Linked DNA regions of Caenorhabditis elegans. The protein of the gene in region 2 purifies or fractionates together with the protein of the main gene of each other region. This does not show direct contact. Each region holds a gene or a part of one and is shown on either strand. Other genes may lie near its edges.

Evidence for each region. The genes of interacting proteins can lie anywhere in the genome.
Region 1: the proteins of bre-1 (region 2) and nex-3 fractionate together in Caenorhabditis elegans (co-fractionation; one large-scale study listed by BioGRID). This does not show direct contact.

What each region holds. Positions count from the first base shown.
Region 1 is NC_003281.10:4,438,901-4,446,158, reverse strand, and holds nex-3 (Annexin), read right to left. Parts: upstream 4,079-7,258; 5' UTR 4,067-4,078; coding exon 4,025-4,066; intron 3,982-4,024; coding exon 3,883-3,981; intron 3,812-3,882; coding exon 3,591-3,811; intron 3,155-3,590; coding exon 2,752-3,154; intron 2,427-2,751; coding exon 2,313-2,426; intron 2,115-2,312; coding exon 2,040-2,114; 3' UTR 1,922-2,039; downstream 1-1,921. Other genes in the region: C28A5.2 (REJ domain-containing protein), read left to right, coding at 6,616-6,669, 6,719-6,856, 6,902-6,967, 7,015-7,258.
Region 2 is NC_003282.8:8,984,615-8,991,872, forward strand, and holds bre-1 (GDP-mannose 4,6 dehydratase 1), read left to right. Parts: upstream 1-3,308; 5' UTR 3,309-3,373; coding exon 3,374-3,445; intron 3,446-3,962; exon of another isoform or gene 3,963-4,062; coding exon of another isoform or gene 4,063-4,083; intron 4,084-4,155; coding exon 4,156-4,266; intron 4,267-4,316; coding exon 4,317-4,529; intron 4,530-4,672; coding exon 4,673-5,003; intron 5,004-5,074; coding exon 5,075-5,484; intron 5,485-5,597; coding exon 5,598-5,660; 3' UTR 5,661-5,830; downstream 5,831-7,258. Other genes in the region: nstp-1 (UAA transporter), read left to right, coding at 258-331, 381-494, 786-888, 929-1,069, 1,121-1,288, 1,334-1,485, 1,866-2,070.

The DNA.
Region 1 (7,258 bases), on a different chromosome or scaffold from region 2:
TAATAAAGTAAAACTTTTCCATAATCTGAAAATTTTGCAGCTCTACCAACCCAACATATAAATCACCGCATCATCTGACCTCATCGGCTACACCATATTAGTGCCCCTGCAAGATTCGGCGATAGTCTGCTCATTTTTACATTTTCAAATGCCTTCCAAAACCCTCATTTTCAGGTGTAGAAGACTTTATTATCATTTTAGACATTTGTTTGAGATTTTCATTCAATTTTTTAAAAATTTAAATTTAATGTAACATTTTAAATTCAATTAAAATGAAATCCCAGCTGAATTGAATGATTCTATCAAATAAATGATGTATTCAGAAGGTCCCGTTTGATCTCTAGAAATCGCGGAAAACTAGATTTTTGGCGCGATTCCTTGAGATCAGAGCCAGTTTACTTTCTGAATACTTACTTCTGAAAAAAAAACTTACTTTAACTGTTCAGATCTCTACCGATCTTCTTTAAAACTCCCTTCAACCTGTGTGCTTTTCCTCATTTCTTTAAAACTTTCTTTCCCTTCCTCATGTCTTCAACTCAATTTCACCGATTCCAGTTTTTTTCGTCTTTTCATTTTAATCCAACGGCCAACCGGGTGCCCGTCTTTTTTATTTATAATTAGATTCCTATCATATTGATATACTATCTTTTTTACTGTAAATTGTACTTTTAGTGAATAAAAAATTAAAATCTTCATACTATTTTGCAAATATAAAGAGTTTTTCTTAAAGTTAGCAGCGGATTTGATATTTTACTGTAGATATGATAGTGGTACGGTAGATGTATTGTAGGGAAAAATATTTAGAAATTGTTTTTTTTGTTCAAATGCTAGCTTTTTTTAAATCATGATTCTTTAAACAATTTTATTATAAATTTTTTATGCCAAATAATTTTCTAAAAATTAACACTTTGAAATTCCCGAACAAAAATGTTTTTTGAAAAGTTAAAAATTTGAATTTTTCGTCTAAAGTTGTTTAAACTAAAGTTATAATTTTAACGCTTAAAAATTTTCAATTTTTGCGATTTTTAAAATTTTAAACTCTAACTTTTATGTTGAAAAAAAACGCCGACAAGACACGACAGGCAGGCAGGTAGGCGCCAGGATCCTGCCTGCCTGTCACAAATTCCAAAATTTCAACACTAAATTTCATTGACATTTTCTCAATAAATCACTCATCAGTCTGTTTTCACATACCGCCCGTTCCTCTCATCAAAAGGGGTTTTTCCATCATTTCAACGTGTGTGTGTCGGCGGTGAAATGGCGGAATCGACGGAACGGCGCCTGAATTACGGTGGGAAAAGGGAGGAAATTCAACCCCACCATGACCTCTTCTTCCCCGACAAGACATAGAGAGATGGTTTGAATTATTGCAAAATAGAGCCTGAATGAATAGGAATCGAATGCCGATGAACGAGGAACACGCCAATTTTCGATCCATGTGAGGGTCACTATGAAGAACAAAAGAAATGGAATCTAAAAGGAAACGGAAAAGGCGTCGGGAGGGGACCTTATGGATAATTATAGTCTGCAGTTTTGCTACATAACAAATTTTTGAATTTGATTCAAGGGGAGAATCTTAAAAAGATCAAGAGTTCGTGATGAAACAGAGAATGGCCAAAATTATGGACTGGCACATTAATTGAAACATTGTTCTACAGTGAAATAAATATTTTTCTGCATTTAGTTTAACAGACTTTTAAATGAGTCTAATCAGAAATTCTATAGAAAAATATTTCGATTAATAATCGGGGTTTTGAGGTACAATTGCTTCAGGTCCTGTTCTGTTCTAACCGACTCGGGAGATGTCAGCTGCTCGAAAATCATAAGAAATTTATAATGGGATGTTGACCAGCATTGAACGTGGGACATGTAATGCTAATTTTCAAGAAAACTTTGTGAGCACTTTTTGGAATTGTCGCTTGTCATTTTTCAAACTTTTATTAAAATAAAAACGTTTAGAAATAGATTTTATAAAGTAGTTTCAATGTAAAGCAATTTCAAACAGAAAGCATTTTAATCGATAGTTTGTATTTCATTTTCTAAGGTCTTGGATTTCCCTTGACAAGCATCGTCAAACCATCACGGTATTCTGCCTTGCACTCCTCCTTGATTAGCTGCAATTTTATGAAATTTATAAAGAGAAACCAATATGGTTTTCTATAGAAAATATTACGAACATCGCTCTGGGGATCTTAAATAGAAATTTGTATTTTGAACTGTATTTGGAAATATCAACATATTTTTTGTTCTATTTTCAGTACACATTTTGGCGTAAACGTTGCAGGTAATATCAGTCTACTTGATAGGCTCACCTGAGTCAATGGTTTTCCAAAAAGAGTTTGAAATTCGTGTTCAATGATCACCAAATCATTTTCCGATCGGGATACCAGAATACGAATAAGATCCTTGTCACGTGTTCCCATTCCCTGAAAACATGAATATTTCCTGAACTTTGAGGGTTTTTATCTAGAATGTTTTTAGCGTTACCAGCTTTAGTTTAACTCTTTTCCTATATCTTCATAGTTGATTAATTTTATCTAAAGCCTTACGCCTACACGCGTGCCTACTACATTGCTTACTTCTGTGCCTACTTCCGTGCCTACGTAGGAAGTTAAGCACGATATGTGTGTAGACTTGTGAAAGTTCCTACATGTAACAAAAAGATAAATGTTTAAATCAAATCAGGAAATTTTTGTCATTTACCTAAAGTCAAATTTCTCTGAACTAAGATTTCAAATATCTTGCACCTACCTTGGTTGCCAAATGAATCGAATTTGCAAAATATCGAGGCTTATTTCTCGAAGTCTCAATAAGAGACAACACCAAATTCTTGAAATCTCCGCTGAGCTCCTTGTCAATAAGTTTCTGGAACTCTTTTCCAGATTGTCTCTCGACTTCTTCAATAACTTTTTGAATATGAGCTCCATTGCATGTTGCAAAGATCTTGAACGCATCGAATTTTTCGACTCCAGACTTTTTGTCAAAACTTTTCAGAATTTGAGCAGCGTGAGGCCCAACTTTGAATGTATCAGCGAATCCACCTTCTTCGCGTTTTGCTTGGAGAATGACAATGAGAAGACGCCGGAAGTCTCCAGAAGTATCAGCAGAAATTGCATCTTCCAATGATTTGGAGTAAGTCATGAAGTAAGTGTTTCTAGAAAAAACATATGTTGATATTAATTTTTTTAAGGACATTTTCTAGAAAACAACTTTAAAATTATCATTGGGTTCGTTTTCGGGAGACCTAACTAGCTTTCAAAAGCCTACGCACAGGAATTACGACTGATTCATACTTTTGAAATCTCCGCCTTTCTGCGTGCCTACGTTATACCTTGCTTCGGGACCTACATCAAGACTGTCTGCCTATGCCTTATTCATAACCATAGTGCTGTCTGGGTTATGTTTGTCTACCCACGGACCTACCTTATGCCTGCCTAAGTGCCTACTCTGCACCAAATCGCTGCCTACCTATGTGTTTTCACGTTCCCGCCTGATGTCTATACCATGCCTACTTCCCAATTGTTTCTGTTGTTGTAAAATTTAGTTTTGACTTCAAGCTTCTAATTTCGAAAAACTTTTTAAAAACTAACTTCGCCGCTTCAATTTCCTCGTTAGTCCTAGTTGTCAGAATTTCGATCAAATTTTTCTCATTTGTTCCAAGACCCTTCACAGATCGATTCAGCTCAGTCACGTCTAGTTTAGTAGGAGTTTGAAGTAGAGCAACGAGAAAATCTTCGAAATCTCCAGAAAATGCTTTTTTGATTTCATCTTCCAAATCCTTTCCGTAACGAGTTTTGTAGGGTGTGCGGATCTGGAAATATGGAGCTTTTAGACATAGGCAGGTGAGTAGGCAGGCATGCCTACCTACCATTAAAATCTTACCATCTGTCTCTGTGTATTATTAACCGAAACCAAGATTTCCAAAATCTTCAGTTTCTCCTTGTTTCTAAGAGCCTTCTCTAGTTGCTCCGAGGCGGCAACCTACAATTTTCGGCTTAACTTTACTAGTTTCCCACAGGCTTACCTCATCAAAATACGGCTTGAAATGGATCTTTGCAGTTGCCATTATGTCGGTTTTCTAGAACTTTGAGGTATATATTTCAGGTAGACTTTTTGAGGTATTTGGATAATGGGAGAATTGAATGTGGTAAAGAATTTTGCACTTTTGGATCAGGGATTACACGACAGTTCAATATAGTACAAAGAAAAAGTGAACCGAATTTGCTTGTAAAATATGATGTATCAAGTATGTGTGAACACGGCCAATGCATCAAATTTTATGAGCAAATCTATAGAATGTGGGAAGTGCAGTACTTTCTGAATGCTTTATTGATAGCGTTTCAGATTTATTTTTTTTAGGATTTTTAAAGTAAATATTTTAATTTTCCTAAAACGCCTAATAGCTCCCTATGAGGCTGGCAGAATTCAAGATTCTCGTAATTTCGCAGTTGGATAATATTTTTTATTTATTTTCTTCGTAGGGAAGTTTCAAGTATTACGTCCACCAATGAGTGTAAATATTTGTGAAACATTGAAAAGAAGTCTGCAAAATAGTGGAAAATTGACGTCAGTTCATCTTTGATTCCTACTTTTTAAACGGAAATAAAATTAAATTGAAAGAGATTCATAACTGGTTATGCTTCGAAAATAAGGCAGAAATATATTGAGAACGAAATAACTGCGATGAGTCATTTGAAACTGTCTGAACACTTTTATTGTCCACAAAAATAGGGAGTGGTTTTTCGAAAAAGAGACCTTCGAAAAGAAAAGAGATGTGATGATGAGTCAGTGGAATTTTAGAAAAGAAATTTTGAAATACTTTTGATTTCGAAATTAAATAGAATTTTTGGGGAAACTTTCCTAACTTTGACAATTAGAAAATTTAACAATTTTGCTACAAAAAAAATTATAGCTTATTATTTGTCATTGGTATTTTTTAAGGTATTCTGGGAAATTCAAACATTTTCGTTATTTTTCTAGAATTTTGCGTGAAAAATGATGAAAAATTAAAATTAAAATTGAATCAAAAACCGTTTTCTTCCCACTATATCATGTCACTATATCATGCACTTCTTAACTTAATTTTAAAATTAAAAAGAAATATTAAAAGCAACAGAAAAGTGGAAAAAACTTGAATTTACGGTTTTACCTAACGAGACCCAATGTTTAGGGGCGGAGCGTTTAAAATTGGCGTTGGGGCGAGATTGATTTTCGATTTCGAAAGGCGTTTTTTGCGTCCCCCTAATATGACTTTTGATTTTTTTTTTTTGCAAAATAGATTCTTGCACGAAAATTTTCGGGAATATTGTTACAGAACACTTGTGAGGAAATTTGAATGTTTCACTATCACATTATTCACGAAAATTGACAGAAATATAAAGGTCTGAGAATATTATGAAAACTTATTATTTAAAATTCTGCTCAAAAATCGCAAAATAAATGCTCTGCGGATATATTGAAATTCCAAGTTCTATAAAATTGCAAAAACTTGTGAAATACCTGCCCAAATGCGAACAGATCATCATTTTCGTGTCTTTTCAAAAAGGTTGGCAGACACTTTGAAAGAGAAAGTGAGGATATTCGGAACGAATTCAATTGAAATGGTCACGGTTGAAAAGGAATTATACATTATTGATGCTAGTTAGGATATGTATAGGCTTCTATTGTGAATTACAATTGAGATCAATTTAGAGAAAATATTCTTCAAAAATATCGTATATAAATGTTGAAAAATAGAAGAACAAACTGTCTCAATATCTCAAATGTTAACTAAACAAGCAAAAGTTCTCGTTTTTTTTTTCTGCAAAGAGTCATCGAAAACTATAATAAAAAATGGGAAGAAAGAATGAGGAAATGTGTTTGTAAATAAAAAAAGAATTGGGAGAAAGTTCAAACAAATAGACATTCGAATCGTTTGTTTAAACTTCTTGAGTTTGTCCTTGTTTGATGGTGGAGTACTGTCAATGGGAGATTTTAGCAAGAGTGGAAAAATCACCAAAATCTGGGATTTTTTAAACTTAATGTCATTATTACATTTTTCTTTAAAGCAGGAGTATCGCCTGTGGGGAAATAGTCAAAAACTACATATATAGTGGCAAAAGGACCAAATATCATGGAAAAACTTTGGAAGCAGCTGGAAAGTGAGAACTGAGAAGTTTCAGACCAACTCCGCCCTTTTTTCTTTGAATTTGCTTAGGTTCGCAAAAACTTGAAATTAGCATCAAAATGTTTTATGGCTTATTTCTGTACAGTTCAAAATTCGACATATCATCGTCTACACCAAACGAACAAGTCTTCACAACAATTTTAATTCCACCGTTGTAGGCCTGAAAATTTCAATCCGGTTACAGTCACACTTAAAGGTGCATGCATGTCGGTTCACAGGTCTCACCACGCCACCAGTGCATGCCTGCTCGGTCCAAACGGAGATTTTCCCATTTTTCGCTTTCATTTAGCTAATTTTTTTGTTAAAAAGTGATTTCTAAATTTGAAAATAGTGAAATTCGGTTAAATCTTCAGCGTAAAGTGTTCAGATTTGCTTTGGACTTCTTTAAAACATTTTTAATTCAGATTTACGAGTTTCTGTGACTTGCCGATGATTATCACCGCAAAACAATGCATTTTTATAAATACGGCGTTTTGATTGATCAGCTCAGAGATTCGTTTGAGGTATTTTCTTTAATTATTTTTAATTAGTTCGTAAAATCATTATTTTCAGTGGAGAGTCGCATTCTTGGATGGATCTGTCAGTGATCATTGTTGCATCACCGTTCCTTCGGAAAAGTTTAACTTTCCGCCGACTCCAGGAGCAACTGTTAAAGCCAAATTTGAACACGCGAACAGCTTTTTGCCATCGGTATCATATTAATTATGAGTAACTTTCTCAATTTAAAATGTTCAGCTTGTCGCACAATGTGGCAGTTTTGAATGGTTTCGTGATGTAACGGTGGTGAATTCCAAAGTTGTGGTATGAAAATCGAATTATTTTACCATTTTACAATCAACTTGTTTCAGATCTTCGCTATTGTGCACTTCTCAAATGAATGTCTAGAAAGAGATCCATTTAAAATAAATGGAATGGATTACAGCATTATCGAGAACGAGAATACGGACTTTCAAAAGATTGTACTTCCAACTCGTGTGCTTCAAACCTCAATCACAAGTAGATCAAATTTGCAAAACACCGACACTCCTTTTATTTATCGAATCGGCGTATGCTGGGAGCCAATAAGTTTTGAAAACGGCGTGACTGTCAATT
Region 2 (7,258 bases):
TTTCGGCTAGACAAGGTACTTATTAGGAAGATATAGCATGTGATTGGTAGCTGAAACAGCTGCTCATTGTTCACTTTTTCTATTTCTCGACTTTTCTATGTCTCTTAAGCTTCTTTTATTGAATTTCAGAGAGAAAAGAACATATTTTTATTGATTAGAAATAATGAGCAAATACCAAAAGTGGAAATTATTCAGATTAGCTTTTAACATTTATGAAATACTTTTTTTCAAAATAAACGAATAACTTTCAGTGCCAAATGGCTGCTGCAGTGATCTCTACTACATTATTTGGTTGTGTTGGATGTCAAGCGGGAATCGAATATTTACAAACGTAGATTCAACGTTCTCTACAACTTTATTTCATAAAAGATTTTTTTCAGATATGTGAAAAATAGTCTAAACCTTATCACATTCGCATCATTCATTTTCACAGCGACATATGGTCTTATATTTCACTCTAAATTTTTTACGGTTCCCAATAGGATACCGATTAAGTTGGTTTTTAATAATTTATTACCAAGACGCAAATTTTTGCGATTTTTATACGGTACCTGGTCTCGACACGGCAAAATTGTGCTGAATAGAAGAAGACGCGCCCCTTTAAAGAGTACTGTAATTTTAAAATTTCGTTTCTGCAAAACCATTGAAAATCGATACAAATTTGAAATTACAGTGGTCTTTCAAGGTTCACACCTTTTTTAGTCAACAAAAATTTGTCGTGTCGAGACCGGGTACCGTATTCTGGAGCAAAACCTGGGTGTTATTTTACTGATTTTCTCATTCAGGTCATATGCGAAAATTGTGGCGATTTTCTTTACAGTCAACATGACAAACAATTTAGCTTTGAAATTTGCAATTTATTTTCCACTTTTCATAATTTTCAAATCGGTTCGTTTTTGAATATTGCAATTTTGAATCAAACATTCAGGGCACACTACTTACGAACATGACAATGGGATGGATTATACGAAATTATCAGTACAGTTTAAAACAAATCAGTGCAGTTGTGGTAGTTACAGCTGGAATTGTAATATTCACGTTGGCCAGTTATGAGCCTGGTGCACAAAATGTTAGTTATTCCAAATTTTTTAATTTGGAAATGCAAATTTAATTGTTACAGATTCGATCAGGAATTGACTCAAACTCATGGTTAATACCAATTCCTCCATTTGTCGTTGGGTTGGCTCTTCTTTCTTTTGCACTGATTCTCAGTGCATATTTGGGATTATATCAAGAAACATTCTATCAAAAACATGGAAAACACAATGAGGAGATGATGTTTTATGTGGTAAGATATCCCTGTCTGAAATAATTTCAATTTCTAAAATTTCAGCATTTCCTCTCAATTCCTTTGTTTGCTTTCGTTGGTGACGATATGGTTCCAGCATTCCATGCCGCTTACTCAACACCTTCATTTGTTATTGCTGGATTGGATACTGTAGTCCCATCGGCATGGGTGTATATTTTTGCAATTTGCCTATTCCAGTAAGTTCTAGTGATTATTTAATTTGACGTTAAACTTTGAAAGTGAAGTATAGTCAGTGGGCATTTTTCTGAAATGGCTTAATATCAAAATTAAACTGTTCAATAACGTTTTAATTGTTTCATTCACAATCAAAAATTGAAATTATTTAGTTTTTGTCACTCAAACTTTTAAAATTGAACCAAAAAATATTTTAATAATATGCACCTGATGTACCTAAATGTGTATTTCTCTATAGGTTCTCGAAAAACTAAAAATTTTCGAAATAATTTTCGAAGAGTTTGGCAATTTGCCAAAACGTCGGGTCTCCGCGGAAGAAATTAAAAAAAACAAAAACATTTTTGTTTCAATGGTCAATTTTTCTTATTCTTATATATTATAGATTCGCTTGCACAAAAGGTGTCTACATGCTCTCCGCCGTGACAACATCTCTAAACGTGACAATGGTCCTAACTCTCCGAAAATTCTTTTCGCTTTTGATCTCATTTATAGTTTTTGAAAACGTTTTCAACATGTTTCACATCATCGGTGCCGCATTTGTTTTCATTGGAACAATCCTTTTTTCAGTGTCATTTGCCCGCTTTTAAGATATCAATCTCTCTTCATCATCTCGAATTTGTATCATTTTTTGCATGGAACATTTCAGAACAATGTGATAATAAACTATTTGCACTATGAATTGATAATCGAATACACAAGTAGACTATATTTCCACTGTTGATGTGGATATTTTACATTTCAAAAATACACGCGAGAGAGTGGAGTAAACCTAGAGACGGAGACAGTGAGAAACGCCAACTGGCAAAGCGTCCCCACGTTGAGAGTAGGCATAGGGCTTCAGGATGCAAATTTATTGATTTTTGTGGCCCGGCTCCATGAGCAAAATGAGCCTTGAGTACAAAAGAACGGGTCTTCTTATCATTATTAATATTATCAGTTATCACCATAGCCGCACCTTCACCACGTAACACACTTTCTCTGTTTCTCTAATTATCTTCTTCTTACTGTTGTTAGGCAATTGAAACGTTTTCTGAACGTGGAATTGAAATTTTTGAAATGAAATGAAACGTTTCTTTAACGTGGAATAAATTAATATATTTAAATATTTTTTTATATTTAATTAAAATTATTATTTTGAAATTCATACCATCATTAATTCTCGTTTTTAAGAGTAAAAATGGCTGATCAAAATGCGAAAATTGAGGTTTGATATTTTTATTAAAAAATCTATTGATGAATATTGGGAATTTGGTTGCATAATAAAGTGCGCTCCATTGAGACATCATTGGTCTTGCCACGATACATATTTTTAGAAAATGAGAAAGCTCATCTTTAAAATTTTTGAAAATTTTAAAGCTGAATAATAAATTGCTCAATTTCAAATAATTCATCAATAGAGTCCTAATTTGTCGTCGTTTTGTCTCTGGTTTCTATGGGAAATATTCCAATTCTTTGGTTGCTATGTACGTTTCCTTGGCAAATTCCTTCGTCTTTATACTTAAAATGCACTTCTAGACGAAACAAATATTTGAAACAATGAACTCACATGATTCAAAAATATTCTGTCAGACTTGTTCCAATGGAAATAATCAGGTATTTGTTGAAAATAATCTAGAAATTTTTAATGCATCAGACGGCACTTCTTTTTTTTTCATTTTCGTGTTCCAGTTTGTTAATGAATAAGAATCTCTCCGGCTTTTCCGTCTTCTATTCTTCCAATCTATACACTCATTGTCTCAAATAAATTCGGGATTCTCTATCTTTCTTCCATCGAACACGGTTAGATTTTTATCCTCCACTATTTGAGAAAAATCCTGATTCTGGGGGCGTGTTCCTCAGCTTTTCCTCATTATTTTCATTCTTATTCGAAATCTAAATTGAACCGTTGCAATGCCAACCGGCAAGTCTGAATCTTCTGATATTTCTGAAGTTGTTGGTAACATGGAAATATCTAAAGTTGAGGTATGTGACTGATTTGTTAAGGTTATCAAATTCTATATATTTAATCCTAGTCTTATAAATACTGATTTCCTTGAATTAGATCAGCTCTAGTGGAATTTCATATTTTAATTATTTGTATTAATTTAGTACACCGTCGAATAATGCATGAATGTTTTAAACTGATCAAAAATTATGTGTTTCCAAAGTTTGGCAGATTGTCAAAATCTTAACTGAAAAGTTCAAAATCTAAAACATTCTAGGTATTTTTGACCGATTTAAAAGATATGTTGGTCTTCTGGAAAATATAGAGAAATTATAATTTCCTAACCATACCGCTTTACATTTAAAAAGTATCCTAATTACTTTGCATTAGTACAATTCTAAATGCTCCCCTATTATATTGACACAGCCTAGGATTGGTACATTTATACATTTTCCGTAAAATGAAGTGCCACGTCCCTTTTTCCATGTTTCGCCTCTTTTCCCTCTCTCTCCCTCTCTCTTTCGATTGCCTCTCCTACGTGTCGCTTTTGGGTGTCCCGAATTGCATTAACTGTTGGCTTTTTGTACATTCTCAATCATTCTGATAGTTTTATCAGTTAGCCTAATTTATCCCCCTTTTTGTGAATAGAATTGAAATGGATTCTAGTGCTGAACAGGTAAATAGGATGTTCCTTTGTCTTTGGGAGATTGGTAATTTTAAATAGGATATCAAAAATTCTAAATTTCAGGGTCTTGAAGCGTGTATCGGAATGAGCCACGAAGTGTCCACTACTCCAGCTGCTGAGTTGGCTGCTTTCAGAGCACGCAAGGTTGCTCTGATTACTGGAATTTCTGGACAAGTATGTTAATCATTTTTCTTGCTTCGTATTTACGCCAGCACTTTTTTCAGGACGGTTCATATCTTGCTGAGCTTCTTCTTTCAAAAGGATACAAAGTTCACGGAATCATCCGTCGTTCATCTTCATTCAATACCGCAAGAATCGAACATCTGTACAGTAATCCAATTACTCATCACGGTGATTCTTCATTCTCTCTTCACTATGGAGATATGACTGATTCATCTTGTCTCATCAAGCTCATTTCAACTATCGAGCCAACCGAAGTGAGTATTGTTATTCATACAGAATTACAAATATTCCAAGCTTCACGCAGACAGACAAAAATGTCTGTCTGCGTGTTAAGATTTTTCTGTACCTCCGTTTTATATGTTCTCAAAATATAACCAGTTAATTATGTTCTTTCTAGGTGTATCATTTGGCTGCTCAATCTCACGTCAAAGTGTCTTTTGATTTGCCAGAATACACTGCTGAAGTAGACGCTGTTGGAACTCTTCGCCTTCTCGATGCAATCCATGCTTGTCGTTTGACTGAAAAAGTTCGATTCTATCAAGCATCCACATCCGAATTGTATGGAAAAGTTCAAGAGATTCCACAAAGTGAGAAGACTCCATTCTATCCAAGATCTCCATATGCTGTTGCCAAGATGTACGGGTACTGGATTGTTGTTAACTATCGTGAAGCCTACAATATGTTTGCTTGCAATGGAATTTTGTTCAACCATGAGAGTCCAAGAAGAGGTACGTCAAATTTTTCAAACTGCAAAAAAAAGCCTGCAAAATTGAAAGCAACTCTCATGTTGGTATTTCAGGAGAGACATTCGTGACTCGTAAGATCACTCGTTCAGTCGCTAAAATCAGTTTGGGGCAACAGGAAAGCATTGAGCTCGGAAATCTGAGTGCTCTTCGTGATTGGGGACACGCCAGAGAGTATGTTGAAGCAATGTGGAGAATTCTTCAACACGACTCACCAGATGATTTTGTGATTGCAACTGGAAAACAATTCAGTGTCAGAGAGTTTTGTAATCTTGCATTTGCTGAAATTGGAGAAGTATTGCAATGGGAAGGAGAAGGTGTTGAGGAAGTTGGAAAGAATAAAGATGGAGTTATTCGAGTTAAAGTTAGTCCAAAGTACTACAGACCAACTGAAGTGGAGACTTTATTGGGAAATGCTGAAAAAGCAAAGAAGACTCTTGGATGGGAAGCAAAGGTTACGGTTCCGGTGAGTTTCAAAAAGTATTCAAGGTTTTTATAATTAAATTTTGAACTTATAAAAACCATTGTAATTGAAGAATGGTTTTACTTATCGAAATCCATGAAAATTATATATTTCAGGAACTCGTCAAAGAGATGGTTGCAAGCGACATTATCCTTATGAAGTCCAATCCAATGGCTTAATCATTTAATCAACTCGATCACAATTTCCAAATTGCTTTATTATTTTTTAATAGTTCCCGTTTTCTCTGTTATTCTACCTAACTTATTGATGATTGCTGTGATGCTTTTGGGACCTCTGGGATTATTATTTGACCTTCCTTTTTTTGAACAATGAAGCATTCTGTTTCGGGATGTAGATTTTTTGGTAAAAAACAAATATTTACTATTGGAAACTAACTAGACATTCAGCAAGGACGCAACGCACGGATGCAGCCACTAGGGTCCAAAGAGGGCGAGTTGAAGGAGAGAAGCGCCACGCAACGCCTCACTCTACCTGAATGTCTCGAGAAATACTTTCAATGTCCATGTAGTTTTTTGTTTTTCTCTAATGTTTCTCTGGCACCACCTACAACTTAAGTTTCGACAAATTTAAAAAAGATTTCGAGAAAGAAAAATAATGAATCTTCATCTTTCGGTCACTGTTCATGCCTCTCACTGAACCCAAAAAACTTAAAAGACTTGGGTTCAAATGTCTAGTTCAGGTGTCCTCGCTAAGATCTCAATGATATCACTATTCATAAAAAACTTTATGACACTTCAATCTTAACACTTTGATCTTTTCACGTATTCATGCCGTCATGTTCCACTGATTCGATCGGTTTACTATAATGTCCATCACAATTTTAATAGGAACGTCGAGAAACTCAATTTTTAGTTGGAAGTCGTTTCAAAAAGTTATCGAATGTTCCAAAATATGTTAACAGACACATTTAGTTTCTAATATTCGCAAAATGTTGACCGATCAACTGATTGGTCATTCTGATCGAGGAATTCATATAAGAGATGTCAACTTTTTTTTTGAAAAGTTTCCGATAGAAGAATTATTAAATGGAAACTAGTAATCAGGCATCATTGCTTCCAGTTTTATTTAAATTCAATCAATTGTCCATAAAATACATTTTCTTTATGGACACTGTATGGAATGTTTTCTTATTTTATTGTTTTTCATTCAGGAATATTGTGGTTTTGTTTCATATAGATTTTTGTTGAAATTCATTTTTTAAAATTTCAGTTTCAATTTTTTTTAGATTCTTCGAATTGATTTTTTTGGTGTAACAAAAAATGTTTTCAGTTTTCCCAGATTTTTGCTGAAATTTATTTTTTGATACAAGTTCGGATGACTTGTGATATTCGATTTTAAAACTTATAAATATAATTAATTATTTGGTCTTTCGCAAAAATTCAGTCCCAGTGGATTTAATCCAAAATCGAGAGTCCAAACATTTTTCATTACATTTTGATATCAAAGCTGGGTGATTAAGATATATAACAAAATTTCTGCAATTAACAGTTAACTTTAAAACGGAATTGAAACATCTGGAATCAAGTTAGAAACTATTTTAAAATATGATTTGATGGAAACTTTTTCTGAATATTCTGATTTGATATTGTGATCGACCATAATTCAGTGAGATACTATGATGCCAAAAGATGAAAACCCAACATTAATCCTGATAAGACATGATATGATAATTCAGACAGATTTAAATAAAATTTGTAATGATAAGAGGACAATAGAACAGTTCTTGTCTGATTTGATCTAGGAAGAAACACATGCA